Ovis aries: one gene and its partner. The protein of the gene in region 2 purifies or fractionates together with the protein of the main gene of each other region. This does not show direct contact. Links are inferred from orthologs where the notes say so. Each region holds a gene or a part of one and is shown on either strand. Other genes may lie near its edges.

Region 1 (14,956 bases), on a different chromosome or scaffold from region 2:
GCTCGGGGTCTTACCCTGCTCTTTGCCTCAGGTGACCTCCTACTCTATACTTGGACCCCACCACCACCCATTGCCCACTCAAGATGAGAACTTTGACCCCACAGTAACTCCTGGACCTGATCTCTAACTCATAATCTGAACTCAACCTAGACCACTGACCTGACCTCAACTCTGACCTCTTGCAGTAATAACATGTAAATTTCCTCTCTGACATCTGAACCTACATTCCAAGCTCTGACCAATGAAACTGAATGCTAAACCTGGTCTCTCTCCCAGGTGACAGTGGGGCCGGGTGTTGGTCTGTCTCTGGCAGACACCAGTTCCGTCCCAGCTTCCCTGCCTCCAGGTAAACACCCAAGCCCACCACTTACTTGTGATTTCATGGTCTAGAACCTTTGCCTTGACCCCACCAGGTGCTCCTGTGGGTCAGCACTCAGTCGTACCTGCTCTGATTGTGATCATGCAGTATTTTCAGTCTCTCCTCTGGTTCCTGCACGCACCCCCCCCCACCCCCGCTTCTTCCCAAAGGTCCCAGGCCCCGAATCTCCTGAGTAGGACAGAGATCCCAGTATTCTGCTTCCTCGGTCCCCAGGCATTTTAGTGGGAGATTTGGTGGATGTTTTGTAGGGAGAAGTGTGCACAGTCACCTCAGACCATGCCTTGAGGGCCACAAACCTCTCAGTCTTCCCCGTGTACATACTCCACCAGAGTGCTTTCCCAGTCCCTCCAGCAAGACCCAGGCCACACTCACCCAGCCCTATGCATTTGGGAGGTGTCTTAGAACTGCTACATTCTGAGTGGTGTCTTCTTCCCTCAGTCCCTATGTCACCACGGTGGGAGGAACATCCTTCCAAAACCCTTTCCGAATCACAGATGAGGTTGTTGACTACATCAGTGGTGGCGGCTTCAGCAATGTGTTCCCACAGCCTTCGTACCAGGTATGTGTGTGTTTGTGTTGGTGGAGGAGAGATGGGTGGAATCCTCAGTTCAGCAGATGGTACTTACTCAAGAGTGTCTTTCAGGAGGAAGCTGTAACCCGGTACCTGAGCTCCAGTCCCCACTTGCCACCATCCAGTTACTTCAATGCCAGTGGCCGCGCCTACCCAGACGTGGCTGCACTCTCTGATGGCTACTGGGTGGTCAGCAATCATGTGCCCATTCCATGGGTGTCTGGTACCTCGGTGAGAATCAGTCTGGCTCCAAACCTCCACCCAGCGAATACCCCTACCTTCCAACCCCAAGACCTTGCACCCAGAACCCCTGACTCCTCAGAGACCTCCTACCCATCCCTCCCAAAAAATCCAACCACTATGAATCCCTAACCTCTACTTGCACGCTCACCCTTGCAGGCCTCTACTCCAGTGTTTGGGGGACTCCTATCCCTGATAAATGAACACAGAATCCTCAGAGGGCTACCCCCTCTAGGTTTTCTCAACCCAAGGCTCTACCAGCAGCGTGGGGCAGGACTCTTTGATGTGAGTATGGAAGGAAGGGTTGTGGCCATTTTCATATGAAATAACAACGTTCATACTCCTAAGAGTATGTTGAGTGCTGAGATGAACTTGAGGGCAATTCTGATGGGGTGGGATAGCCTCTGGGATTTGTGAATACAGGGTAAGGGGCTATAGTCTGTTAATATCAGCAGGTCCAGATCTGATGCCCACCCTCTCCCTAGGTAACCCGTGGCTGCCATGAGTCCTGTCTGAATGAAGAGGTGGAGGGTCAAGGTTTCTGCTCTGGCCCTGGCTGGGATCCTGTGACAGGCTGGGGAACACCCAACTTCCCAGCTCTGCTGAAGACACTAATGAACCCTTGACCCTCTCCTGCTAGAAGGGTTGGCCTGTCCTCTGCCCCACAGCAGGTGGCTGGGTCCCTTATTCTGCAGTGTTGGAGGCCCTGCTGAACCCTCAACCGTTGACTGCCACAAACAGCTTATCTCCCTAACCCAGAAATGCTGTGAGCTTGACTTGACTCCCAACCCTACCTGTTCCATCATACTCAGGTCCCCCTGCCCCAGGTTCCTCAACAGGTGCCATAACCAGCACTATTTGGGAGGATCCCCTGCATACAACCACTCTCACCCCCACCCCCCAGGGCCCCCTGCTCCGTTTCTTTTCTTTTCAACCAGGCTTTTCCAATGTGTTTTCTACACTGTGTACACTATTTCACTGCATCCTCATTCCTCAATTCATTGCCATGAGACCTCTACTCTTACTGTTTTACTCTTTCCTTCCCCCTAAGAAATACTCCCAACCTTTGCTTTGTGAGCTCTCTGTCATAGAAGCCTACTGCCTCTTTTTTCTTAGCTTCCAGGGCTTAACTTCTTCTCTGACCACTCCCTCTTCCTCCTTCATTCCCTTTTCCCTCCTTCTCTTTCTCTGCTTCCTCATTAAACGTTGTTGTATTTTGTTGCTCTATCCTTTTGTAAAATTTTATAACTCTTGGTTTTTATTTTATCAAAGTATATGGGCACATTGTCAAATACTTCTTTAAGTCTTACTGCTAAAAAATAGCCACGCCTTATATATCTACCCCCATTTCCTGCTACTTGAGGCAATCATTTCAACTGTTTCTGATGATTCTTTAGTGTGTGCTAAGTCGCTTCAGTCGTGTCCGACTCTTTGTGACCCCATGGACTGTAGCCTGCCAGGCTCCTTTGTCTTTGGGGTTCTCCAGGCAAGAATTCTGGAGTGGGTTGCCAGGCCCTCCTCCAGGGGATCTCCCTGACCCAGGGATGGAACCTGCATCTCTTAAATCTCCTGCATTGGCAGGCATGTTTTCCACCACTAGTTTATCTCTAAATAACATGCTTATGTTGCTGTTTATTGATTTCCCCCTGCCCAATTATAGCCATTACTGACTTCCTATTAGCTTGTGATCATTCTTCTTCCTTGTCCCAATCACTCAAAATCCGCACCACCCATTCTTTTGTCCTCTCGATACAATTCTATTTTTGTCTGAGCTGCATACAGGATTTGCAATGGTACAACTGTGTAAATGCTAATCATACCTAATCCATGTAGTATCCTTGCTCTATCCTTTGTCTTTTGCTCTTCTCACTTGACTCATTGTCCACTGAAACAAATCAATGACTGGCATCCACAGCCATCACCATCTCACTAAATCGGACTTTCCATCCTACAGGGATTGATACCTCAAAAGCAAGATGTGTAATTCTCAATAGTTCATCTCCGTTCTTCCCAATCCCAAACTGTTCTCTTTTCTTATTTATAAATGACACTATGCTTGACACTTCCAACTGAGCCAGAAACCTAAAGTATCATCCAAGTTTCCCATTTCCTTCACCTCCTCCCATCATCTCCTTGTCAACAAGTCCTACTGACTCTATCTCTTAAATACATCTTTATCAACCCAAAAGTTCTTCCAATTATATTTCCAAAGTGTATCTTGAATTCATCTACTTCTCTCCAGCTCCACTGCTACTACATGAGCTGTGAGCCATATTCCCGCTCCTCTGAATTGAGGCCCTTGCAAGAAGTGCCCTTACATCCTGCCTTTCCCTAAACCATCTACCAGTTCTTTATTCACTAAGTTGTGTCTGACTCTTTTGCAACCCCATGGACTATAACCCACCAGGCTCCTCTGTCCATGGGACTTCCCAGGCAAGAATACAGAGTGGATTGCCACTTCCTTCTCCAGGGTTCTTCCTGACCCAGGGATGGAACATGGGTATCTTGCATTGGCAGACATGTTCTTTACCACTGAGCCACAAGGGAAGCCCCAAAACCAACTATCAGAGCAAATCTCATGAGGTCATCTACTTAATTAAGAGCCTTCAAAGATTACTGGATATAGGTCAAGCTTTTTATCATGACTTACAAACCTATCTCTTTACTTGCTATTTGTTTCCAAGTAACAAATTGTTTACCCTTCCCGGTCTCCCCACACTCCCCTCCATGCACTTTCATTCACTGTTGCTCAAGATATTCTGTGCCCTAACATTACCCCTGGCTTCCTGTGCCTGGCTGAGGTCCAGAATTCTTTCAAAACTCAGCTCACCTCTTGTGAATCTTTTGGCTCCCTGAAGCTAGTTGATGTGGGTATGACAGAAAAGTCCTAGATTCTTGGTTCTGATATAGACTAGAGAGAGCCTGGGGGAAGTAAGTTCAACTCTTGGAGACTTTTTCCTCATCTGTTAAGTGAGGATATTGATACCTGCCTCTAATATTCAGGAAATCATTAAGTGGAATAAACTTAATGGAATGCCTAACACACAGATGTAGGCAGCAACTATTAGTTCCCTTCCTCCCTTGCACTGCACACCCTGTGTCTACCTCCAGTATTTTAACTCCCATATATTGGTGAAATGGCAAGTTTAACTGTTAATGCCTCCCTTTGCAAGACCACTGGTGCCCGGAGGAGTAGAACCTTCTCCTACTTAACTCTGTATTTGCAGACCCTAGCTCAGGACTGACAAAAATAAATTTTTGCTGTGTTGAAAACCCCACTCTTTCACTAGCCGTGATTTTACATAAATTGTTTATTAAGACTGAAAGACAGCCATCCCTCTGTATCCTCGGGTTCTCCATCCACAGATTCACCCAACCGTGAACTGAAGATATATATATTTTTTAATTCCAATTATAAAAGACGAAACTTGAATTTACCATGCACCAGTAAACTATTCACATCGCATTGGATATTATAAGCAATCTAGAGATTATATAGAGTATACAGTGCAAATACTATGCCATTTCATATAACGGACTTGAGCATCCACGGATTTTGGTATACATGGGTTGGGGACGGGAGTCGGGGGAGTCCCGGAACCAATCCTACCAACCCTTCACCACCTATACGGACGGTGGACTGTACCTCTCTCCCCATCTGCAGCAGCACTGTGTCAGCTGTCCGGTTACCTTCACTTTGGGCAGCTGGCGGGGAAAGAGGCTATTCAACTCCACTACAAACCCTTAAAAGGCTGGATAAAGGAACTTAGAAAAGATGCAGACACGCAGGCGACCAACAGTAGAGAGGTGTCGGGGCGATGAGCATCAAAGCAAGAATTTTAGACGTCAGGCTGGGTGAGGGGGCCTCAAGCCCATAGAAGAGAATCCTCGACATTGAGGGGTTCCCATCCCAGCGGATCCACACTGGAGAACCGCGGGTCCGGACGCGAAATGTCCGCGCCAGCCCAGTTCCGCAACACTTGGTCTCCGCCCTCCCGCCTTTGTCAGGTAGCGGCTGGATGGGCGGGGAATAAAGGAAGGAGGCCTAAGGGAGGAGCGAACGTGGCGTGGGAGGAACGAGTCGTGGGGCGCGTGACGTCACCCCTGGTGTGTGCGTAAGGTGAACGGAAGCGGAAGCGGCTCTGTTCGCCGCCTCTCCCACCGGCCCGATGAGCTGCAGCGGCTCCGGCGCGGACCCCGAGGCGGCGCCGGCCTCCGCCGCCTCGGCCCCGGGCCCGGCGCCCGCGGTCTCGGCCCCCGCCGCGCTGCCCGCCGGCACCGCCGCGGAGAACAAGGCCAGCCCCGCGGGGACGTCAGGGGGGCCTGGGGCTGGAGCCGCGGCAGGGGGCACTGGAGCCGTGGCGGCGCGGGCCGGGGAGCCTGCCGAGCGGCGCGGGGCGGGTGAGGGCCGGGACGGGTGAGGGCGAGGGCCGCGCTTTGGGCTGGGCCCAGCGGCGGGTGAGGGCAGAGGGTAAGACACACCTAGCGGAACCCTCGAGCCTCCCACCTCCGTGTCTCAGTTTGCTGGTTTTCCTCCAGCTCCAGTGACGACCGGCGGCGCGGCGCCCCCGGAGGGGGCCATGTCTAACGGGGTTTACGTGCTGCCAAGCGCGGCCAACGGAGAGGTGAAGCCAGTGGTGTCCAGCACGCCTCTAGTGGACTTCCTGATGCAGCTGGAGGATTACACGCCTACGGTGGGCTTCCTGCCTGAACAAGGCTAATGACTCGCTGTCACGCCAACTTCTGCCACACCATCTGGATTTGCAGCATCCTCTTGTGTTTCTCTTCCTAGCTTTTGTGATTTTTCCCTTCTGCCCACCCAAACTGGGAGCTTCCTGATAGCCAGGCCTGCCCTCCATTTCCCTTACCCCGACTCTCAGCCCCGCTGTACACAGGGCTAACGCTTACAGTCGTCTAATTGATTTCTCAGATCCCTGATGCAGTGACTGGTTACTACCTGAACCGTGCTGGCTTTGAGGCCTCCGACCCACGCATGTGAGTAAACTCTGGGCAGGTTAGAGTGTTGGGTGTTTGTGTGGAGTTTATTGTCTATGCTCTTCTCATACCATTTTTTTCTCTCCAGAATTCGGCTCATCTCCCTAGCTGCCCAGAAATTCATCTCAGATATTGCCAACGATGCCCTACAGCACTGCAAAATGAAGGGCACAGCCTCTGGCAGCTCCCGAAGCAAGAGCAAGGTGTGAGGGGAGGCTCATTGATTCAGTAATTACTTCCTACAGCAGCAGAGGCTTAAATTATCCTGAAACCCCTTTGAGGGAAATTAAGCCTTAGGGGAGGTGAAAGACCTACTCAGGGTCACCTGCCTGGGATTGAAATCTGGAATTCCTGTGTTCAGCTGGTGCTCTTCCCTCTTCCCTCAGGACCGCAAGTACACTCTAACCATGGAGGACTTGACCCCTGCCCTCAGCGAGTATGGCATCAATGTGAAGAAGCCGCACTACTTCACCTGAGCCACCCAGTCTAAATGTACTTGTCTGTTCTCTTGTCCCCACACCAGCCTGTTTTCATAATAAACTTTATTGTGACAGGCAGGGCTGATCCCTCCCATGCTGGGAGACACCGTGTGGCAAGTGACAAAGCTTTGAGCCCATTCCCTTTTGGGGCCACAGTGGTAGGGATGGGGGCAGGGGATGGGCCCCATGGCTGGGGTAGTACCATGACTAGTGGCAGGGGAGGCAACCAGAGGCCTACTGCTTTGGGGAGGTGCACTCCCCTAACCGTGTCCTGACACCTCTGGAGTTCAGATAAGGACTTTCCAGCTCTACTTGTCCTGCATCTTCTCCAGGATAGGCACGATCATGTCAAACTTGGGCCGCTTAGCAGGGTCTTCATTCATGCAGATCTTCATGAGTTTACAAACGTGGGGGGAAATGCCTGGTGGGATGGTAGGCCGAAGGCCTTCCAATGCCACCTGCAAACACAAGGAAAAACAAGGTGAGTCTCAGAACTTGAGTCTCATGTCGGGAGAGACGTCTAGCCCTCAGGACAGGATTCTGTGTATTTGAATCAATGTGGCAGGAGCCCAGCCCCACTACAATTATTGTCACTACCACCACAAGTATATCCAGTTATGCTCTCACCTTCATTCCAATTTCCATGTTGGAGAGGTCAGCAAAGGGTACCTCCCGTGTCACCAGTTCCCACAGAAGCACTGCAAAACTCCACATATCTGCTGAGCGTCTGTTTGTGTCTTCAGGCTTCTTTTGCAGAGCTAGAGGGATAGGACTTATCTGTTCCAGCTGCTTGTCCTGTCTGTGTTCCCTTCCATTACTACTGAGCTGCCCCTTCTCTGCCTCACATCATAATGCCATCACTCACCTTCAGGAGCCACCCAGGCAGGTGCATACATGCGCCCGGGGCACTGGAAGGAGAACTTGACGTCGGCCATACTGATTCGAGCAGTCATGTCCTCATCAATCTGAGGAAGAGAAGATAGTTGTGTGGAAGGAGGTAAGTCCTATTCTAGGGAAAGGACCTCTGGGGCTTGGGCCGGGAGTGAAGTTGTGATCTCACCATTACACTACGGCTGTTGAGTGCATGTCGTGGGATGAGGGGCTCTAGTGTGTGTAGGAAGGCCATGCCCCTTGCCATGTCCAATGCAAACTTCACAGCCTGGCTCTGGTCCACAACGAAATCTAAGTGAGAAGGCAAGAGTTAAATCATTTGGAGAGGCTCACAGACTTTCCTTCCCCACACCCTGCTGCAGTGAGATTTGGCACTCCCTACTCACTGGTGCCTTCATGTAGCACATTGTACAGGGATCCGTATGGCATCCAGTGTGTGATGAGGGTCGGGTGAGGAGCAGGTGGAGACTGACAGGCACCAAGCACTGGGAGCACATTGGGATGTGAGAAAATCCTGGAAGAGGGAGAGAATGCCCCTGGCTGAGATCCAGCATAAAAGATCTCCCTCTGGGTGCTGACAGGGCTCCTTGAAATCAAGGCTTCCAGTTTAGGCCTTGCCCCACCTGAGCCGGGGACACTCCTCATTGAAGTCCCTGCTCTTCCTTGTACTCCAGTCTCGAACCTTTAGCATCTTCACGACAATGTCATTGCCCTGCCAGCGGCCCTTCCATAGCTGAGGGACAGATAAGGGTTAGAAGGCTTTAACTAAGGCCACTGTTTTCTTGCCCACTAACTGGAGGAGAGACTTAAAACAGGTGCACAACAGGTAATAGGGTGGGGTGGGGAGTTACCTCTCCAGAGTGATTCTCGTTGAGCTTCGCCAGGAAGTTGAGCTGTTTGAAGTCAATGCCGGAGTGTTTGTTCAGAGTCCCATTTCCTGAGAGTGTGGGCAGGTCAGGCACCCAGCTTCCCTCTTTCCCAGCCCCAGGAGTCCAGGACTATTCTCTCACCACCCCTCCCCTCACAGCTGACTCACGGGGCCGAGTGCGGGTAGTCCCCTTCCAGAATGTGTCCTTGTATGGAATACGGTTCAGATTCTGGCCCATCTTCTCTGCCCGCTCTGGGGAAGAAAGACAAAGTCTTGACCTCAGCTGTTGTGTGGAAAGAGACAGGCTAGGACAAGACGAGGACACAGCGGTGGGTGGGGACAGACCTCGGAGCAGCTCTCTCAGGGGTGCCTTGGCTTTGTCCACAGGCATCTCTCCATACTTGTTACAGATGCTGACAAGGGCCCCATTCGCCACAAGGTCCTGGAATTAAGAGATGGCTGTGATGAGGGCATTCCCAACTAAGCATGAGTGCAGATGCAGTACAAACCTTGTGAATGTTGCACACAGGACAGTACTCACAGGATGGGTTGAGGGTTCCAGAGTCTCCCACTCAAGCTCAAACTTCTTCCCACCCATCCCAGAGTTCAGGGCCTGAGTACTCACCTCTGCCACCTGATCTTGGCCCCAGAAACAGGCATAGTGCAGGGGCACATTCCCATGCTCATTCACCGCATTGATGTCAGCTTTGTACTGTAGCAGCTGGTGCCCATAGCCAAATAGAAAGAGGTAGAAGGTACAGTCAGTCCCAAATGAGAGAAGTGTACTAAGGCATGCAAGGAAGGAAGGAGATGAGTACACATACTTTGTACGTTATGTTATAATGCCTGTGTCTTACTTCCAGGCATGTGCATCAAGGGGTTCATACATACCTTCTGTACAATATCACGGTGCCCATGACTGGCTGCCAGGTGCAGAGGGGTATCATCCCCACGGTTCATCACATTGATTCGTGCCCCCCGCATGATCAGCATCTCAACCACAGCAGATCGGCCTTCTCGGCAGGCCCAGTGCAAGGGGGAGAAGCCATGATCATCCCTATGAGGAAGGCGCAAGGGTCATTGATTTGGAAGTGGGATGGGGGCAAAGGCTTTGACACAGGAAAAACTTTAATATTCTCTCTGCATACTCTTCCCTGGGAAGCCTTACCTCTAGAACTTTGATTCTCATTCATGCCAGCAACTCCCAAAGCTGTCCAGTCCAGACCTTCCCGAGTTTCAAACCCAACCAACCACTACCTGAAATCCCAACAATTCCATATGATTCACTGTTTTCATCTCCCTCTAGCCTTTCTTCCCAGGCACCTTCTATCATTAAATGGTAACATTCTTCATCTGGTTTCCTCTGCACCCCTTTGGCAACATCTGTTGGTTCTTTTCTGTTTTCACCATATCTTGTACACTGCCTTACTACATAGGTACTTGTCACACTGGATTGTAAAAATCTGTTAAATGGGCTGTCTTGTCTATTAGACTAAGCTTTTTGAGAATTGACAGCAGCTGTTCAGTGCATGTTAATAGGAAGGAAGGGAAGCTTTGAGAAGAAAAGCCACAGTTTATGGAAGAGGAAGCAAGTTTACTGATTGGTTTTGGTTCTGATACTGAAATTAGAATCTAAAAAGGGAATGGAATTAAAATGATGGTTTGGAGGGGTTTATAATGAAAAGGAGAAATGCTTTGGGTAAGTCATTCATGAGGCAGATACCGCCACATAAGACAGGATTCTTAAGCAATCCTAGGTACAGAAAACAAGAAAATGAGAATGACTTAATTAGAAAGCTGTACCTAACTTTTTTCTTTTCCCAAGAACTTCTCTATTTTATAAAGTTAAATGTATAAAAAACAACAACAACAAAACCACAATTGGGTGGAAACTAGGCCTGCCTGACAGCCTGGGGCCATAAAAGGAAATTCCCTCCAGTCCTGGGCTGCAGATCCAAGGGGCGGAGCTAAGGGGGCGGTCCGTGGTCTGGGCCGTCAGCCTCCGGATGCCTTAGTGCTGCGGTCACTTCCCGTGTGGGGGCTCTAGGCGGGGCCTGGAGCTGATCAGGGGTATGGTCACCCCAGGCAATCCAGATGTCCTCAAAGCCAAAATGGGTGGTGGGTGTGACCTTTAACTTACTGATTTCCCTCTACAGCTGCCCTCATCTGTTCACAAAGATAGCCAAAAGCTTTTCTGGGAGGTATTCCCTCCCTCTTCCTAAAGCAATCACCACCCCTTACTTATCAGTCAGTTTTGCATCCCAGTTCTTTAATTTGTGCCCCAGTTTATCAGCCTCTGGCGGTCTGTGGCCCCAGAGAAGGCCAGAGCCTGACAGCAAAAGTATGGGCACAAGGGTTCTGCCCACTGCCATGCTCCGGTCACCTCAGAGCCTGAACTTTAATCCCAAAGCGACCAGCAGGAAATTGACCCTTACTTAATATCCACCATATACCCAGTTGGGGCCCCGAAGCCCTTCCACTCATACCTGCACCACTTTCACTAATACCACTCTTTGATGCCAGCTTCATTGGAAAAAGTTACCTAACCTTTATGATGCCACCAACAAAATAGTAGCTGTGTTCTCTGTCTTTATCAGAGCACCGTTTGAAGAATTATATGAAAAATGGAACGAGTGTGAATTATAGAGAAATAGCGTAGAGTCTAATGGGGACCCATAAAGCCTGGATGAAAGTGACAGGTGATCCTTAACTCTCAAACCTAAAATCTATTTTCTCCTCACTTTAAAAAAATTCTACGATCCTGAATCAGCATCACTACTGCTTTTCTTGCCTTCCTGTCTCAGCCAACCTTAAAGAACTTGTCTACATTCACTTTCTCTACTTCACATTCAACCTGCCCAGGAGACCACTGCCTTGAGGACAAGCATTATGCCTGATTCTGGACTTCTAGCACCCAGTGCGTGTTCAGTATAGTTCCTTAAATGAAGGAACCAAGTATAGTCTGGTTTTTTTCACTTGTTTTCCTCTGAAACGGCTCTCACAGAGATCATTAAATACATAAATAATTGTAAATTCAATGGTTACACTTTAGTGCTCAAGTTCTTTGACCTCTTAGCAATCTAGAGTACCACTGACCACTCCTTTCATTGAAACATTCACTTCTTTAAGCCTACTCCAGTACTTTTGCCTGGAAAGTCCCATGGATGGAGGAGCCTGGTGGGCTGCAGTCCATAGGGTCGCTAAGAGTCGGACACGACTGAGCGACTTCACTTTCACTTTTCACTTTCATGCGTTGGAGAAGGAAATGGCAACCCACTCCAGTGTTCTTGCCTGGAGAATCCCAGGGACGGGGGAGCCTAGTGAGCTGGTGTCTGTGGGGTCGCACAGAGTCGGACACGACTGAAGCGACTTAGCAGCAGCAGCATATTTTCCTGTTTGGTCTTCTAGGTTTCTCATCCGGTTTCATATCCACCTCTTCAGGTGCCATCTACGTGCTGTGTGTGTCTGTGTGTGCATGCGTGTACATGCTTAGTCATGTCTGACTTTGCAACCCCATGGACCAGCCTTCCAGGCTCCTCTGTCCATGGGATTTCTCAGGCAAGAATACTGGAGTGGGTTGCCATTTCCTACTCCAGAGGATCTTCCAGACCCAGGGGTTGAACCCGCATCTCCTGCCAGCTCCTGCCCTGGCAAGTAGATTCTTTACTGCTGAGCCATCTGGGAAGCCCATCTTCATGCTGCTGCTGCTGCTGCTGCTAAGTCGCTTCAGTCATGTCCGACTCTGTGCGACCCCATAGACACCAGCTCACCAGGCTCCCCCGTCCCTGGGATTCTCCAGGCAAGAACACTGGAGTGGGTTGCCATTTCCTTCTCCAATGCATGAAAATGAAAAGTGAAAGTGAAGTCGCTCAGTCGTGTCCGACTCTTAGCGACCCCATGCACTGCAGCCTACCAGGCTCCTCCGTCCATGGGATTTTCCAAGCGAGAGTACTGGAGTGGGGTGCCATTGCCTTCTCCAGTCATGCTAATATCGCCCAAATCTTTGTCTCCAAGTCAGATCTCTCCTGAAATCCAGCAGCCCACTCCACATCCACTTTATTGTCACTTAAATGTGTGCAGAGTGGAACTCACCACCCTTCAGCCTTGTCCTTCTCAATAAAAGGAACCACTATCTACCCAAGCCAGAACCCTGATCATCATCTTTGACCTCACTTTCCACACCAAGTCTCACCAATTCTTTATCCAAAAGATCTCAGGAATTTGATCACTTTTTTCTTTTTTGCCTGTCCCAATTCTAGTCTAAGCCATCACCACTTGAGATGGACTAGGCAGTTAGTTGCCTCTCTTCACATCACCACTTGCTCTTCATAAAGCATCCAAGATGACACTTAACAAATGGACAATCTCATCGTACCATTACATGGCTCTAAACCCTTGCCCTTGCAATAAAAAATTATTATAGCCTAAATACTCTTGCATGATCTGACTGACCCTTGCAGACCTTTCCAGTCTTAACTTCTGTCATTCTGCACTTGTGCTTAGAGCTTTAGCCCACAGAAGCCCAGCGGTTTTCTCTCCTCTAGCCATATGGAGCTCCGGACAGTTTCTGGCACTCTCTGCTCCGTGTCTTGCCCCCTAGCTTTTGCCCATGAGGTTCACTGAAGTTAGAATACTCTGCAGATTCTGCCTGTAAATTCTTATTCAGTCAAGATTCAGCTCAAACAACAGCTTCCGGTGTGGAGACCCTCTGCCCCGCTGACAGGCTGTTTAATCCTCATCACACTGAATAGGAAAGTAAGCCGCCCGCACCAGAAGTGAGCACCCCACAGAGCGGAGAGGAGCATGTCTTTGCCCTTCCTCTCGCCCCCCAGCCACCCCAGCTCACCCCTGGTTGAGGTCGTTCTCCGTGTTGTCCAGCCACAGGCGGACCGCAACCGCGTTGCCCTCCCGGCACTGAGTGAAAATGTCGTCCATAGCAGCGTCCCGGCAGAGTCCCCTAGACTGGGAAAGTGTGGGAACTGTAGAAGGATCTTGGGGGGGGGGGGGGTGAGCCCCAGGCTTTGTCCCCTACAGGAGAGAAGTGTGGTGTTGGGCTGGGGGTCTGGGCTCTGCGTCCCCAGCTACTGGATGTCTGTAAGGAGTTAGGGAGGCAGCGGAATGGTCCTGGACTGTGTCCCTTGAGCGCGAGGGAAAGGCGGATCGGGCGAAGTAGGCGTTGATGAAGAGGTAGTGTCTTCCGAAGGGATGTCACGAGAGCAAGCACAGAGACCCTACCCGCGAACAGAGCTGGGGGGTGGGGGTGGGGAGTTTAGGCGCCGTATACCCTGGAGGAGGCGATCGGAGGTCCTTGCCGAGGATGGCCCTCGTTCCCGACTCGGAACCGAGTAGGTGGAGGGAGGGGTGACCGCCTGGTAAAGCTCGAGCCTTGGGGAGGGGGCACGGGTGCCCCCACACTCACCGGGACTCGGGCTAGAGGAGCCTTCTCCGGGGAACTCCCGTCCGGCCGCGCCCGCCGCCCGGCCCCGCCCCTGGCCCTCTCAGGCCAGCGCGGGCCTCCTTCTCCCGGCCCCTCCCTCCCGCCTTCCTTGCCCTTCTAGCCCACCAGTGTCTAAACTCGATGGTTTTCGGCACTGCGCCGGCTGCTCTAGCCACTTCAGCTCTCACTCTTTGGTTTCCTGCCCTGTTCCGGCGTCTCTGAGCGGTCTGATTCTTAGAGACGTGGTCTGCACGTGGAGAAGCGGGTGGATCCCGCAACCTTGCGCTCCCCAGCCCCATGTTCGAGGAGCCGGAGTGGGCCGAGGAGGCCCCTGTAGTCGCGGACCTCGGGTCTGTAGCCTTAGGGCTTCGGCCCACGGCAACCTCTCAAATCAAGGTGAGTGGCCCTGCAGGAGTACTCAGAACAGACTGCTGGATTCCGGAGCTGGGGCGCGCCGCGTGTGTAATTAGGGGGAGGGGGGCCGCTTGCAGCCTCCCCAGATCCGGAACTTCCAAAAGAAAGTGACGTTGGAACTGAGAGAGAATTGGTGAGTAGAAGTTAGTGAAGCAAAGAGGGTTTCTTGGAAGGAAAGGCATGTGGAGAGACCCGGGTCAAGGGAGCATGACACAGAATGAGAGGCAGTGTGGTAGAAATTGGAGGGCTACGTTAGAATATTTGCACGTTAAAGATAGAAGCCAATGGAGTGTTTTAGCAGGGGGATGATTTCTTCAGATTTGCGTTTTGAAAATGTCACTGGTTGCCGTGTGGAGATTGAAAAGAGCAAAACTGAATGGCAACGAGGGCTGTCAGTGCCGCTGTTCAAAGGGAGCTGGAGCTGAGGGAGTACTGAGAGTCTCCAGGATGAGGGATCCGTCCAGTGGGACTTAGTCCAGAACGGCCTCCCAGACAGTAGTCCTCCTTTAAGCCTCTGCCGATGTGAGGGCTGCTGCACTTGCTCAGGCTCTTTCTGTCCTTCAGTCAGCCTGTGACATGAAATCTGCCTGCTTTATTCTCTCCTCTTCAACCCCTCGACCCACTGCTGTAATCCCCGCCACTGGCCTCTGTCTGCAGCTTGTCTCTTTCAGTGTTTTTTTTT
Region 2 (16,113 bases):
AGAACCCCAGCTCATTGGTCAAATATGATCCCACAGTGCTCACCCAGCACAAAGTGGCTGAGGAGGGACTGCCTCACAGGACCAGAGAATGAACACACAAACTTGAGGGAGTCTTTTCCAAAGTCTGTATTTGCATCTAAGGCATGTCAGAGTGAACGACATTTTAGCACACCTACAAAATGGTGTTTCCTGGATACTTTCAGAAATTCCAATTTAGCCTCCTGAAGCTGGTTTCCAAACCCTGGCAGAGTTCACCTTTGACCTTTACAGCTTAAGGGGATGGAGGTTCCCTCCCAGGCTCCATGTCCACTGGACATGTCAAATGGGCAGCACTGTCCACTTTAAAAACTGAACTGTTTCGCATGAGTTAGAAAATTATAGGAAAGCTTCAAAAGGCATGTACGTACTTTATACACTGAAGAAATGGACATGCATTAAGAAAAAGGAAAAATACTAACGATCCCTGAAGTACATCTGAATAACAGTGCTAAACAACTTAAAAATCAGAAAAGTTGAACTCCTTTTAAATGCAAATTACAGTAAGCAATCTATCAAAAATGGAAGAGAAAAAGAACTGTCCTGTACTCTACCTCACATAATCTGTTTTCTTCCTTAAGAGGGGAGAGATAAATTTACCAGGGCAATTAAGAGCTCATGGCTACACAAAGAAAAGAGATGATGGACCAAGTCAAAGACCAAGGTTGATGTTCTGTTCTGTCCTGACCTAACTCAGTGGAATTAACATTTGTCAACTCCTTATACTGGTAACATACTAGCTGGAGAAAAAGGAATGATACATAATTTTCATCATTGAAAGTTAACATGAAATAAGGGATCTGACGTGGTACCATCCAAAACATAACATATTTTATGGGTTTCCTTTTTCTCTTTGGTATTTCTTAGCAAGGTTTGTTAAATGAACACATTTGCATGCAAACAGGTCCAGAAATGTCAAAAGCTTGAATCATTTTTTGTATTATGGAGGAAATGTGAGAATCCATTTATTAACTTAAAGAAAGAACCACAATCACACATGTAGCATCTATAAAGGAAATATAAATTACCAGGAGCACGATACACAGTCAGCTTTTAAAAAAAACAATCTTTATGTCTGAAGGCGTTAGTTAGGAAAAATTGGTTCTTCTTTTTCATGACTAATGTAAAGAAATACTGTGCTTCTCTGGCTCAGGTAGAGCTATTTTCAGATACAGTAAGAAAAGGGAAAAGTCTTTGTCTTCTTGCATATCTATTGTCACTACATAAAAGAGGCCCACTAACTGCTAGCAAGGTCCTGGCAGATTAACCCTCTTCTGCAGCCTTCTGTGATATTTATAAAACCATCTGCTTGTGCAGTGCATCCATTTTTATACTTCACCCGAAAAATAGTGTTTGGAGAGTTTTATCAGACAGGATTTCCTTCTGCAAAGGGCTATCTTAAACAAATGGGATCACCTATTAAGTTCAAAATTTTTTAGCCTTTTGGTAGACCAGCTGTATCTATTATGTAAGGACCTTCTAAGTCAGCAGCCATTACAGGATATAGTAGTTAAGAAAGCCCAGGTATGGCTATTCTCAGACAGTAAAGAATCTGCCTGCCAATGCATGACTCACCAGTTTGTGGGTTTGATCCCTGGGTCAGGAAGATCCCCTGGAGAAGGAAATGGCAACACACTCCAGTATTCTTGCCTGGGAAGTCCAATGGACAGAGGAGCCTGGCGGGCTACAGTCCATGGTGTTGAAAAGAGTTGGACAAGACTTAGCGACTAAACAATAACAGCATGGTCTCTCTGGCCTCTAATAGGTTTGCCCAAGGTGCAGAACAAAAGAAGACATTCCTTGGTTTTAATTGTGCAAGTAAAACAGCTTGAGAAACAATATGAGGCAGAATCAAAGTCCTTATTCCTCCTTATGAACTAAACAGGATGATTTATTTTGCCAGATTTCCAAGGGAAGAGAAATTTGCCTGCATTTTCCCATCAGTGCCCACCACTCCCCAAGCACTGCTTGGTTAAAATGTTTCCGTTAAGTAACCTGAATAATAGTATGAATGTCTTTGTATGGGACTGAAAAACAAAAGAGAAAAGCAAGTGAGTGTGGCACCTTTCGATGGACAGCAAAGAAAGTCACAAGATGGGAAGAATGATGGGGAAGGAGCTTTTGAGTTATGCCAGCCTGGAAATGAGGCTTTAGGACTGCCAGGCATTACAAATTGCAGGCTTCATGAGAATGCCTGTTTTCCAAATGTCGCTTTCAACCGACACCGTTTCTGCTTAACATTTGTCAAACCTCTTCTTTTGTTAAGAGTTAACGTGTCAGCTTTTAAAATGGCTTGCAGTTTCCATCCACCTTCCTTGATGGAAATGTGAAAAGTGTGAGTTACTCCCTTTCACAAAGAATCTTGTCAAGGATCCTGACTCCAATCTGACTTCCCCTCTCGGCGACCAAAAAAAAAAAAAAAAAAAAATCTGCCTCCTGTAAGCTTAACAAGCGGTGCCGATCTGATCATAACTCTCACAGAAACAGAAGTTACTCGACAATAGCCCGAAAATGCTAACACACTTGTAGGGTTTGAGCGTCAGAAGGAGCGACATCCAGAAGGAGCGAATTCCTTTGACAGAGGGAATAAGTGACAACGAGCGGGCAATGCGATGACACCAGCCAATATGCTCCCTTTGCTGAGAGTACGATAAATGAACAGAGGGAGCTCCGTCTGAGGAATCATCAGGATGCGATGAATGCCCCAAATGTACCCCCAAAACAACCTCCTGAAGAATTGCCTCTCAGCTCTCTCCCAGCCCACACCTGCCCACAGCCCCTCCTGTTCCATCCTCATCCACTTAAATCCCTGCCAAGTATTTTAATTCCTCCTAAACACTGACTTCCCTGTTTTGTTTCAAACATCCATGTCACCTCTTGGAGTCTGTTAGAGTCTGGAAATGAGATAATTCATCTTCCCTGGACTGTCGCTGCTCAAGACGTGGAAGGCCTCTTAGGATGCACTGGGAATAGGAAGGTCACCTTGAACCTCAACCAGGGACACGAAGGGAAATGAAATGAGCTGGTGAGTTCTTAATGCTCTCATTTAGGTAATGGGTCGATTGGTTAGAAAGGGGAGGGAAAAAAAAGGAGATTCATTGGTATTTCAAGTGCCAGAATAAAAAATTAAAATACGCTTTTATGACAAGCTAAAGATCAATATAGTAAAAAAAGGATTTTTTAATTGGAAGGGGTGTACGTGACTTATATAAAAAGAGATGAGAAAGTGAAGATTAGAAACTACAGGTTTTAGAATAAAGGATCTAAGACTAAGGTACCAAATGAGACATTTGCCTTGTTTAAAAAAATATCGGTGTAACATATAAACTGCCTCCGTGCAAGTCATCACATGTACAGCTTTACAAAAGTAGCCAAATATCTGCTAATTAGATTTAATTTTTCAGAGAGTTGAGAAATCCTGTAAGTCCTCTAAATATGAAGTGACTGCTTAAAAAGAAAGAAGTTTGATTTCTAGTTACATGAGGATATACAAACATATTCTTCTAAAAGAGGACCTTAAATTATAAAAATCAGTAAAACATAGTGATGGCATTTTTGCACAAGTGTATTTTTTAAGAAAACAGACTGAGCGCTTGAGGCAGTGTCTTCCTTGGTTCACAGTCCCTGTGTCTGGCTGGTATGTTGATCAAGGAATGAAGGTCACTGCTCCACTGGGAGAACAGGGGGGCAGAAAGCTGGGATAAAGAAAGTGGTTAACATTCTTCTCTTTCCCAAGGAGGAGAAACGGGGAGAACTCTAAGAGAATTCACTTTAGGGAGGTCCCTGCTCCCAGGAGTTTAATGTCAAGGGCATTCTCCCAGCAGAGGCGCACATACTCCTCTCAAATCAGTGAACAGAGTACTGACTGGCACCCCTACAAAGGGGACAAAGGCTCTCCCACGCTTCTCTAAGCGGTTTCATGGTGATTTAACTGGACAAAAGATAACAAAATTCTCCAAGAGGAAATCATGTAAAATATAAGCCAGTGGGCAAACTGCTGAGATGACTCTGATCCTCCAATATCAAATGCTATTGAAACAGACAAGAATATATACACCAGACATGTCATGGACTAAGTGGATCACAGATTCCCTTGCAAATAAAGTATCAACAAACTCAGTCAACACCTCTCCTTTATCCAGAATCCTAACAATGTTCAAATAAACAGAAACTGTCTGTAATAGCACACAATGGTGATTAATTGCCTAATGACTCTAACGTACTCAAAAGCCATACGTTCACAGTGTAATCTCTTAAAAATGAAATGAAAATTAGAAGCACTTTCTTATGCACTGTATTCTAATTCTCTGTAAATTCTAAATTAGTGTATTAGTATAAATTCTAAATTAGGGTAGATATAAAAAATCATTAACCAGAATAAACAACAGAGTATTTCCCCCAATTCTGGATTAACAGTAGCTTATTTATTTTTCTGTAGTTATTATGTACAATGTTTTTCTAACAGTATACCACCCTACAAACCAAACCATTGTATAACCTTCCATTCACTAATGAAACTTTAGAGGTTAATCTAAAACTGATGTTAGCAACAATTAAGAATTTAAGAGAAACCAAACGAATAAACAGCTAATTTGCAATTATACTTTCACACATTTTCATGATGAACTAAACAAATTTCCAACCCTGAGCTATGTTCATTAAAAAAAAAAACTATGTATGTATAATAATTGCTCATATCTATGTGGTTCATGAAACAATAACACAGACCCTACACATCTCCCATTTTGACATAAGATAAATACTAAGATGTCAAAAAAAAAAAAAAAAAGTTAAGGTATCATCTTAAAAGAAACCTAAACCAGGCTTCAAGTTGCATTCATATACAAGGATATGCATCATTTTGGCAATTTCAGTTTATTCTGCTTGAATATCATTGTTCTTTCACAGTTTACCTTCTCTGTGATTCTGTCTGCTGGAAATATACCAAAAGGAGTCCCAGATGTGTAACCAGGAACGTGGCAGCAGGAGGACTCATACTATCAGAACCACCACTGGCCGTTCATGGGCCAGGACTCTGCCCTGCCAGTTAAATCTGACCCACTGTTCCAACACAGATTTGGAGAAAGCCATGTTGAGCCGGGGGGCAGGGGATAGCTCTGATACTCAAGAGAAAAAAAAGGGAAAAAAGAGAGAAAAAAGGGACTGCTCCAAACTGACTACAGCCTTTAATGATCCCCACGGTCTTCTTAAGAGTTGGGATGTTAAATTCTCACAAGTTGGTACTGGACACAAAAACAGATTAAACTTGACTATGAATTGTTTCAAGTTTTTTGCAATTGCTTAAAACTAGAGGTGGCTAGATTTCAGCATTAGAGGGTCACTGAAGCACTGAGAGCAATGATCACTTCAATTTGGGGGTGGCAAGTGGGAGGAGCAGAAAATAGTAACAGAAGACACAGTAACAACAGAGCAAGTGGAGGAGGCAGAATTCCTTCTCACCTGAACACACTGAGGAAAAGAGAGGCGGGAATACCTAGGTTTTAATGCTGGACCCCCCAGGGGCGCCCTGGACCCGAGGGAAGGACCTGAAAGATTTTGATGCTGTGAGTTAAGCCAGCTGATCCCTCCTCGTTTTCTGTCTTATCGTTTCTCTTCGATTAAAAAAGAGAATTATGCTTTCTTAGTATGCTCTACTGATTTTATAAATAAACCACTTAACAATTTTGTTCACAACATTTGTTATTCTCTGCATTCAAAGGAGAAAAGAATATGTTCTGATCTTAATGTGTCTGGTTAATTTCCTTAGTGCCATGAATATTCAGCCAGTTTAATACCTTAAAAGATTTCTAAACAAAACTAGTATAAGTTTCCCTTGACAATGTGAATGAAAAATAATCTATAAATAAAGACAATTACTATGTGTGGTTGTTAAGCTGGCATAATTATAAATACCATAAAACCAGTCTATTTCAGAAAATCATAGTCTACTTACTATTTGTATGTCTCAGAGCGGATGTATTCAAAAACATGGGACACGCCAAGCTGGAACTGGTCAGCGATAGGGGTAACCCAGGGATTGTTCTCTGCTTTGAATATCTGCTTCTGACCAGTTAAATCCAAGTTTCCTAAAAAGATGGAGAGAAAAAAAATGAAGGTCATCTAACCAACAGAAATCAAATTCAAGAAGTAATTCATGCCCAGTAACCACAGCACAACCTTAAGCATCTTCTGAGTCATTTGTTTTAAAAATATTTAGCCCAAGTCATTGCTGGTCTACAAGCCATGTCAGTGATTGCATACTGACACAAGAAATTAGGAAGGAAGGGAAGGCGATAAGGAGAGAGGGGTGAGGGAGTAAAAGAGGTAAGAAGGAAGTAAACTTGGAAGGAATTCACACAAATGTAGCATTTGCTTCATTTCTTCCAGTATTTGCTACAGGAACAAAAACAGCCTTCCAGGATTGAGAGAACCCCTCATATCAGGACATCCCCCAATTTCACCTTGACAGTGTGCAGCACCATCTGTCCAGTAAGACTGAAACCTGATCCAATCAACACCACTTTTCATCAAAGCAGGACACAAGCGAAGAAAGATGAAAACACTGCCTCATTCGGGCAGCATAGCATATCTCAGAATCAGCACTAAACGCATCTCAGTAACATGGTTAAGGGTAGAAATGCACACATATATATCCTACCTATTCACAAATTACCTGTAAAAAGCATTTCCTCCTTTGATTCTCCAGCAATTCCTAAAGTCAGTAATTGACATCACTTTACAGGTAAGAAAAACCACAGAAACTTGGGGAAATTAAGTAACATCTCTAAGAACAGAAAATGTCAGAGTAGGGATTTGAATCTAGGCCTTCTGACTCCGAATCTCTTATATATTTCTAGATCAACCAAACATGAGCTAATGAAGGGCGCCAGCATCGGGTACCACGTGTTGCTGGATCAGTTGATTATGTATATATTTCTGTTTGGTGTCTTTGAAAATGGAAAAGGGAAGTGTGAGAAAGAGCTTCCAAGAACATGGTTGCCTACGAGAGAGACAGACAGAGATGCTACACAGTAGAGCTGCGTGTGGTTTAAATGGCAGTCAGCTGGCTCACCGACATCCTTGCCCTCAAAGTCCTACTGAAGAAGTCCATTTTCAGACCCCTGGTCTACAGTCTAAGGTTTCTGAACACAGACACCTAGCAATTATTCATTACAGGACACAACCCTAGTACCATTTCTGTCCTGTTCTGAGGCTCCAACTGCCAATTTTGTCATAACAAGTAACTTCAGGATATGGAAAACATACTCTAAGGATGCAAGCATTCTACAAAGCACATCATTTCCCAGCTAATCTGAACTTCAGAAATGAGAAGAAAATGTTTACTAGGACAGTGATGCAGTATTTCTTCTTAAAACAAATGATGATACTCTGACTCTGCCTTCTTTTTGTTACACTGACAGACCTTGCTGTATCAATGCTTCACTTTATTGTGCTCTGCACATACTAATTACATTTCTTATAAAGTGAAGGTTGCGGCCACCTCACACCCAGCAAGTCTGTCGGTGCCATTCTTCCAACATCACTTGCTTACTTTGTGTCTCTGGGTCACATTTCAGTAATTCTCCCCATATTTCAAGCCTTTTTATCATTATTATTTATGTTATGGTGATCTGTGATCAGTGATTTTTGATGTTACTACTACACGTCACTGAAGGCTCAGATGATGGTCAGCAGTTTTTATCAGTAAGAAAATTTTTAATATTTGATTATTTTTGGCTGCACTGGGTCTTGGTTGCTATGCATGGGCTTTCTCTAGCAGCAGTGAGTGGGGTCTACTCTCTAGATGTGGTGTGCAGGCTTCTGATTGCAGTGGCTTCTCTTGTTGCCGAGCACAGGCTCCAGAGCTCATGGGTTTCAGTACCTGTGGCTCGCGGGCACAAGAGCTCGGGCTCAGCAGTTGTGGCAAACGGGTTGAGTTGTGGTATATGGAATCTTCCCAGACCAGGGATGGACCCAGCAATGGCAGGTGGACTCTTGACCAATGAACCACCAGGGAAGTCCGTCAGTGAGAAATTTTTAACTAGGTATGTACATTTTGGGGCTTCCTGGGTAGATGAGCTGGTAAAGGATCCACCTGCAATACAGACAGACCCCAATTCGATTCCTGGGTCAGGCAGATCCCCTGGAGAAGAGATAGGCTACCCACTTCAGTATCCTTGGCCTTCCCTGGTGGCTCACACAATAAAGAATCCACCTACAATGCAGGAGACCTGGGTTTGATCCCTGGGTTGGGAAGAGCCCCTGGAGGAGGGCATGGCAACCCACTCCAGTATTCTTGCCTGGAGAATTCCATGGACAGAGGAGCCTGGCGGGATACAGTCCATGGGGTCACAAAGAGTCAGACACAACTGAGCGACTAAGCACAGCACACAGCACATGTACATTCTTAGACATGGCGCTATTGCACAATTAACAGGCTACAGTATAGTATAAATAAACTTTTTATATGCCGTGGGAAACCAACAAACTTGAGTAATCTGCTTTATTGTGATGGTCTGAAATGCAAACTACAGTTTTATCAGAGGGGTGCCTGAATGAATGTGAAGCTATCCAGAATAACAGAGGAAAAACAGACCAATGGAAAAGTGATTCCTATTTCATAAAATGCTTTTAAAGAAAACCGATATTATGAAATAGTAGGAGTAATCCATCATGATATTTCCAAAGCTATTTAAAATCTGCTGGTTAAGTACAAAATAAGCAGATACATTTCTCTCCAAGATTATCAATATTGTCAATTTCCTCAACTTAATGGTTAAACATCATTAGTCAGATATTTAATCACTTGGGAAATTAACGGGCTTTATTCTCTACACCGTGAGTCAGAAGACTGCTTGGGATAAGTGGAAGTGCAAATGTTGCACATATTGGGCTTAGCCAAGTATCCTACAAAGGTGTAACATGGCTGGCAGTGGACTGCTGTTCATATATTTTGCTTTCATCTTTACTTGGACAAGAGACAAGCTTTTCCACTTCCCCAAAATCAAATTGATCGCTTGTTTAAATTTTGCTATAACTCTCATTTCCTCATTTGCTATACCCTATGTCCTCCTGTCCATATCATTGTCTCATTACTTCTTTTTCTCCAATTTCCACATTTCCTAAAAATGAATAGAAGTTTCTGGGGAAAGTCTTAAATTTACAAACCAGTCTGTATTTCTGAAGCGTCATGTTTAAGTTTTTAAAATATTTTTCGGCTGTGCCACTCGGCATGTGGGATCTTAGTTCCCTGACCAGGGACTGAACACGTGCCCCCCTGCACTGGAAGCTCAGAGTCCTAATCACTGGACCACCAGGGAAGTTCCTGACATGTTGTGTTTTAAATGCACAGTATATTATGTTGTGCGGTGTCCTTAGGCAGTACGGTCACTGAGGGAAGGGCCAAGTGACCAGGTGATAGTAACCACAGGGCAGAAATTCTCTAAAAAGTTGGGGGGTTACTAGAGGTAAAAGCCTCTTTCTTAAAACATTCACCTAATTGACAGCCTACACTTACCCAGTATCCTCTTCCTGCCTCCGAGCCCTGCCCACTTATATCATGGAATCAACTGTGAAAAGAAATAATCAATGAGACCTTTGGAAAAAATATGTCTTCTAAAATGGGTAACCAAAAAAAAAAAAAAGCCACGAAAAGCATAAATTACATAAAGATGTGAACTAATTCCTAAGCAAAGGAGATTTCCCTGATAGAGGTGTCTCTGCTCTAAATATCTTTCTTCCTCATCCCCTGAAACTGGTTAGTCTAACGAAAACTCCAGGCTAACTTTCCCATGGGTAGAGTGTATCTGATGAACAAGCTTCCTGGACTCTCTGTCATTCACACACATGACCATGAACTAACTTAACTGGACTGCTTTCTTATTTAACCTCTGCTTCAGATGCGTATCACAGGAAAATGACTTAGAAAACCGCTGAGGAAGGAGGAGGGTCAAAAGAGGAGAAGTAGCTGTGTCTGGAGCACAGAGGATTTCTTGGCTTGCTGTATTTTCAAGGCTCTGGGTCAGTGTGAGAGCAACGTGGACCAGGGAAAGTTTCGGAAGGACCTCACAGACAAGCCTCAGTTTGTCCAAATTTGCCCAGGAGAGCAGGAGAGGAAGATGACTCTCTTCTTTCCTAGATTGCATCACCAGCTCCCTCCCACCCAGGTGCAGGGTTTGCCTGAGACAGACTGGCTTCTGGGGCCATTTGCTACAAGGCTTCCACCTGGACATACCTCTCCTGGAGGAACACAAGACAAAGAAACTATATGGGACTAAAAGCAAGTGTGTGCAAGCACAGCTGGGGCAAACATGGACAGAAGATACACAAAGACCAAAAAAGCCCTATTGCCACTTCTAAAGAGCCTGGAGCAAAAATAGGGTATTGGCAACTGCAAAAGCAGGGTGCTGTGCACCCTACCCTGCACTCAATACCCCCTAAGTGTTGGGCAAAACCCTAAGCCACCCCTCCAGCCCGATCCTTGGACACACTCCTGTCTTCACCCCATATAAGGAACCAGCTCCCTCACCCCTGGGGAGTGAGCAAGGGAACCCATCACCTGTTCTCACTCCTCCCTGCTGCAACGGGAGCCCCGATAAAGCCTTGCCTGAATTTGTCTGGCCTCTAGTCAGTTTCTATTGATTGGAGAAGGACACGAACCCTGATCGGCATCATGCCCACTAATCCAAAAGTACAGGTATGTTATGAACCGGTTTAATGGATCATCCTTGAACTCAACATACAGGTACAGGAAAGAACAGCCTGTACTCTGCTACCAGCAACCTACAAGCCTGCTTTCCAAGGTACTTCATCTCATGTTCACTTAGTAACAGCCTCTGACTAAGCCTGTAGTCTTTTTAATGGTAATCCTCTAAAAATAATGTACTTAAGTTCGACGCTCCCTGGTTGACACATATGGAAAACAGACCTGGGGGAATAACATCAAGAAAGGAGGTCAGCTCTGTACCCTGGGCCCTCTTGTCTGAGACCTCGAACCCTCCAGAGAGCTGTCAGTCCCCAGCCATGTCTCTATTTAAGCACTATCAATGGAGACACAAAAGCCAGAGGATGACGCTAATGACGCCTGCTAACTGGAGCACGCAAGAACTGAGGGATGCAAGCTGGACCTGGTTGATTCGGGGAAGAGGAATCTTATACTGATGAAAGTCGGAGTACCCAGAACGGACCAGAGGCTGCTTGTGAGCATTTTCATTTCTATCACTTCAAACTCATCTGTGCACTCTAGCTGGGGGAGGGGGAGGTTGGAGGGATGGAGTTACCTTCCCCCACCCCCATTTATTTACCTTAGAGTCAAACAATCCTCAGTCAGATTTAATAGCAAACTTCAGATTCACAGCTGCTTCGTGGATACTGGAACTGGGAAGCCTAGCAGAAAAGCATGATTCATGTTCACTGACATGGGGTGTGTGTTGGGCAGGCGGGTGGTAAGACCACACCGTAGCTTCGTGGTGGATGCTATGCTCTTTTCTTAACAAAGAACCAAGAAACCCATGCTTCAGGTCCACAGCGCACCTTAAAGCAGGCAACTATTACAGATGACAGAGATGGAAACCGCACGAGCCAGAGCCTGCGCCGGCACCGACTCTACGAGCTGTAAGTGGACTCGGAGGAAGGGGACATGCCTGTTTTATTTTCTGAGTTAATGTCACTGGTGAAGGATGTAGTACCTGCTTCCGTACAGCTGCGATCCTCCCAGCTGGCTTGGTGTCTCTCGCTTTCTCACCTCCCTCTGAACGAACGCAGCAATTTCAGAAGAGGGTTAAGATAATTAGAAGAAAGCTCGGCCATCATCCCATGTGAAAAGCTGACACCTGGCTCCTGGGGGCCCGGCAACAAGTTCCTCCGACCTCAGCCGAGCTCATCCATCAGCTGTCTGAGGCGGGTTCCCTCTGCAGTAATAACATGCAGGGAGCATCTCAGCATCCCGTCAGTCAGGCTGCGGGAGCCCTAACTTGCCGCACGCTTGGCTGGCTCCAGTTAGGAGTCCTCACCCATCTCCTTATTAGAAGCCTGAGTAGCGCTCGGGTGCTGTTCTAACAAGGATCAGGCGGCAGGATTAAGCACTGTGACAAAGAGGATCTAATAAGCTAGAAAGGGGTGCACCCACGGACACGCTAGCTGCCTCCCAGACGCACATTCCCTCTGCTTGCTCTCTGGTGGGGAGGCCCAGGCCACGTGGGGAGCCAGCCCGCGCCGTGATGAGTGGTGACCCTCTGACCGGCACTGCCCTTAAGATCAGCTGTCACTCACAGGCTGCTTCTGAAATTGCAAATTGGATTTTCCATTTTATTACCTGCAAAGGCACCACATATACTTCATTCCAGAGCCTTGAGTATAGCAGCTCTGCCATGCGACTGTATTTTGTAAAGGCTAAAGCATGGAAAACAAGCATTCCCCTCGCTAGTGATACATGTGATCAGATGGAACAGGCCTTGTGGCCCCATTGATAAGCAGACTTGTTTGCACGTATAGAAATGGGTTGTTTTCATAATCCTACTGATAACAATTCTTCCTGAGTACTCCAAATCCTGAAACGCGTGGCCAGGAACATCATTTATTGCATATTAAGCAATCAAGGCAACCTGGGCAAATTTTTCATGTCATTGAAGGATCATTCCCTCCCTCCCTAATTCCAAAATCCGCAGAACACTTTTTAAATGAGTGCATGCTAACAGCCAGGCTCCCTCGCTCATGGAACTCTAAGGCCATCGTCTAACAAGGTAAAACTAGCAAACCATGGCTGATGGGGTACTCTATCATCAGTATACTGGATTTGCTGAAACTCAGGAAACTGATTCGCTGCTGAAGGGGGTCTAGATGGGACATTATGACAGCTGAGAGATCACCTCTGCTCTGCAGTGAATCAACACACAGGAGCTAACCACAAACAACTCCGGCACAATATAAAAGCGACATTCAGGGCTGCTCCGAATATAAACAGATATTCTACATGTAGATCCCTAAGCTTATTACTGTATAAGAGGCTTCTAATTACAAAAGTGCACGATGACAGCTGGAGATGGAAAGCGTCTATCTTTTTCACTTCTTCAGCAACAAACTTCACTGAATGGAAAATGAGCAATGAGGCTTATAAAATCATGCTCACATTGGAATAACAAATGTTTGCTATAATAAAACACTGGAAACAACCAGAATGTTCAATAGGTGAGAAGCAGCATAACATAGCTACTCAATGAAGTGTTATCTGGTTATTAAAACAAATGACAAAGACTTGTATGTTTTGACTTAGAAAGAGATCTACACCCTAATTTTAAAAAATTCAGGGTATGCTAAGTTTGTTATGATTTCATTTTTGGAAAAAAGTATAGAAGAAAGAAATCTCATATTAGGTATACGAGGAAATGTTTAAGTCAGAAAGAGAAGAGAAGGACACGTATCAAATTGTTAATACGCATTTTCTCAAAGAGGGGAAATGAACGTGGGGAAGGGATCTGAACTCACAGAATACAAGGGTAAATTATTTATTTTCTTTCTCAAGAACCCCATGTGATTACAAGTCTGAATTATTTTTACAATTAAATAAGAATAAGGTGAATGAAAAGGATACCATCAAAAATAATTCAAAATACAGGACGGATGCTAATTAGTACAAAGGCAGCACCTTTTATTTAAAATGGCCTCATCCCACTGCAGGAACAGCCTGATGGTCTGCTAAGCGCTAACTGGATTGAGAAACAGGGTCTGAGGCTGCTGCTTTTTCTGGGCATCATCGATGCAGTCCAAGTAGGCTGGAATGTCTCATGACAGCTCTCAAATTTATTCTGTGGGGAATTCGAGGCCACACTGTCATTCTGGCAATTGTCTGCTTAGCCTTCTGGGAACACATTTTTAAAACAGGCATTTAGCTCTCTTAATACATACGATGCACTGCTGCTTTGTGAAACATACTAAAACTGTGACTTTTCCGATCTAGTCAAGGGAAGCATACAATTTAAATGAAAGAGACTTTTTAAAAAGCTCAACACCCTGCCAAATGGCTTCAACAACAGTGGCCTCTGATTTATGTGTGTACTGTGTGGAGGAGTCCAGAGGCCCTTTTAAAGCATGAAGAAAAATATCACTTTACAGTTTTCCCCAGTGCCCTTCTTGGCCATATGACATCTGTGTTGCAGGTTAAGATGGACTAGAAAAGGGTCTCTCAGTCGCTGGTAAATACAATTCCCCATCAACAGAGCCATGGGCATCCTGAGGGCTCACCACCATCGCTGCTTTATTCAGCAAGTCCCTGTCTGTGGAGGTCCAGTGAATAACTCATGTTGTAAACCTGGCCTTTGTGTAGGATTTCCCCATTATTCTTCTAAAGGTGGGAGAAAAAAACCTTATGTTTGCTTAACAGATTTCCCTTTTATTGTTTATGTAACATCAGGAAGCATATTCTTTTTTTTTAAAAAAAAATTTTGTTTATATATTTAGCTGTGCTAGGTCTTAAGTTGCATCATGTGGGATCTAGAGTTCCCTGACCAGGGACTGAACTTGGGCCCTGGCATTGGGAGCACTGGATCTTAGCCACTGGACCACCAGGGAAGTCCCTAGGAAGTATATTCTAAAGCCCAGTGGGTCTGGCTCTGGATGCCACATACCATTCACTGGCTTTCTGACCAAATGACCTTGGGTAAATCCCTGTGTTTTCTGAGCTTCAGTTTCCTCATCTGCCAAGTGGGGATAATGGTACCAACTGACAGGATTGTGGACAGGAGCCCAAAGGTGTACAAAGTCATTCTCTACCCTTGAAAGCACTACATCAATAAAAAATACTCTTCATTATTATGTTAAGCGAAATCTGCAAAGGAGAGAAAGATGTATACTGGACAACAATTTGCCTAAAACAGAGATTCACTCAGGGAATTCATCTCCTGAAAGTTAAAGTTGCTCAGTCGTGTCTGACTCTTTGAAACCCCATGGACTATACAGTCCATGGAATTCTCTAGGCCAGAGTACTGGAGTGGGTAACCTTTCCCATCTCCAGGGGATCTTTCCAACACCAGGGATTGAACCTAGGTCTCCCACATTGCAGGCGGATTCTTTACCAGCTGAGCCACAAGGGAAGCCCAAGAATACTGGAATGGGTAGCCTATCCCTTCTCCAGCAGGTCTTCCCAACCCAGGAATCGAACTGGGGTCTCCTGCATTGTATCTGCCGAAATAGAATGCAAAATAAACATACATTTGCCTGGTAGTACTCTTTCAAGGAAAGGGCCCCCAAGTTCATAAACTTCTCAAAGGTCTGTGATTAACAGTAGGGCCACGGGGCTTCCCTGGTGGCTCAGTGGTAAAGAATTGCCCGCCAATGCAGGAGACATGGGTTCAATCCCTGATCCAGGAAGATCCCACATGCCATGAAGCAACTAACCCCGTGCGTCACAAATACCCAGCCTGGGAGATGCAACTACTGAAGTGTCTGTACCCTAGAGCCTGTGCTCTGCAACAAGAGAAGCCACCACAATGAGAAGCCCGTGCACCAGGACTAGAGAACAGCCCCTGCTTGCTGCAACTAGAGGAAAGCCCATGCAGCAAAGGCGGCCCAGCACAGCTAAAAATAAAATTAAAACAGGAGAAATTAGAAACAAAAGCAGGGCCAAGAAAAAATTAGGAATGCTGATTTCATTCCCTAGAAGACTGAAGGGCAGCAGTCTGCAGCGCCTCATGAGGGTCAGGTCCCAGAGCGCATTAGGTCATTCAGCGTCCTCCCAGCCCTCACTGCCCTTCCACGGAAGTCCCCCAGTTCAAGGACAATGTTCTGACTGCCTGGGAGGTTGGAAATGTAAGCACCAATGAGAAAGCCCCAGTTACCCCAGAGATCCCAAGGAGACATCCCTGAATATCAACAACATAATCTAAATCAATGGATGTTCAAGGAATAAGTTCCAGCAATCACAACTTCTTATAAGATCAATAAAGGTATCACACCCTTCGGTAATCTATTCCAAGTACAGATGTGTAAGAATTCTGAAATTGAAACCAACTCTCTTATTTGATGAAGAGCAACATGATGTGAGTGGAGGAAAGAACTGATTGCAAAAGAAGTCAGCACATATGT

The links.
Region 1: the proteins of RSU1 (region 2) and ILK purify together in Homo sapiens (affinity purification with mass spectrometry; 9 studies listed by BioGRID and IntAct, counting the BioPlex papers as one, with this or other methods). This does not show direct contact. The link is inferred for Ovis aries from reciprocal best matches to the Homo sapiens genes RSU1 and ILK.

What each region holds. Positions count from the first base shown.
Region 1 is NC_056068.1:46,191,623-46,206,578, forward strand, and holds ILK (integrin-linked protein kinase), read right to left. Parts: upstream 13,896-14,956; 5' UTR 13,708-13,895; intron 13,386-13,707; exon of another isoform or gene 13,381-13,385; 5' UTR 13,359-13,380; coding exon 13,270-13,358; intron 11,462-13,269; exon of another isoform or gene 9,481-11,461; coding exon 9,315-9,480; exon of another isoform or gene 9,287-9,314; intron 9,145-9,286; coding exon 9,049-9,144; intron 8,866-9,048; coding exon 8,769-8,865; intron 8,676-8,768; coding exon 8,592-8,675; intron 8,493-8,591; coding exon 8,407-8,492; intron 8,289-8,406; coding exon 8,179-8,288; intron 8,070-8,178; coding exon 7,942-8,069; intron 7,847-7,941; coding exon 7,725-7,846; intron 7,662-7,724; exon of another isoform or gene 7,630-7,661; coding exon 7,530-7,629; intron 7,423-7,529; coding exon 7,292-7,422; intron 7,123-7,291; coding exon 6,973-7,122; 3' UTR 6,710-6,972; downstream 1-6,709. Other genes in the region: TPP1 (tripeptidyl-peptidase 1), read left to right, coding at 1-31, 277-346, 818-938, 1,023-1,181, 1,350-1,475, 1,676-1,816; TAF10 (transcription initiation factor TFIID subunit 10), read left to right, coding at 5,360-5,591, 5,730-5,884, 6,121-6,185, 6,274-6,388, 6,572-6,661; RRP8 (ribosomal RNA-processing protein 8), read left to right, coding at 14,158-14,256. UniProt on the Homo sapiens protein: Scaffold protein which mediates protein-protein interactions during a range of cellular events including focal adhesion assembly, cell adhesion and cell migration.
Region 2 is NC_056066.1:30,547,239-30,563,351, forward strand, and holds part of RSU1 (ras suppressor protein 1), read right to left. Parts: intron 6,123-16,113; coding exon 5,990-6,122; intron 1-5,989. UniProt on the Homo sapiens protein: Potentially plays a role in the Ras signal transduction pathway. Capable of suppressing v-Ras transformation in vitro.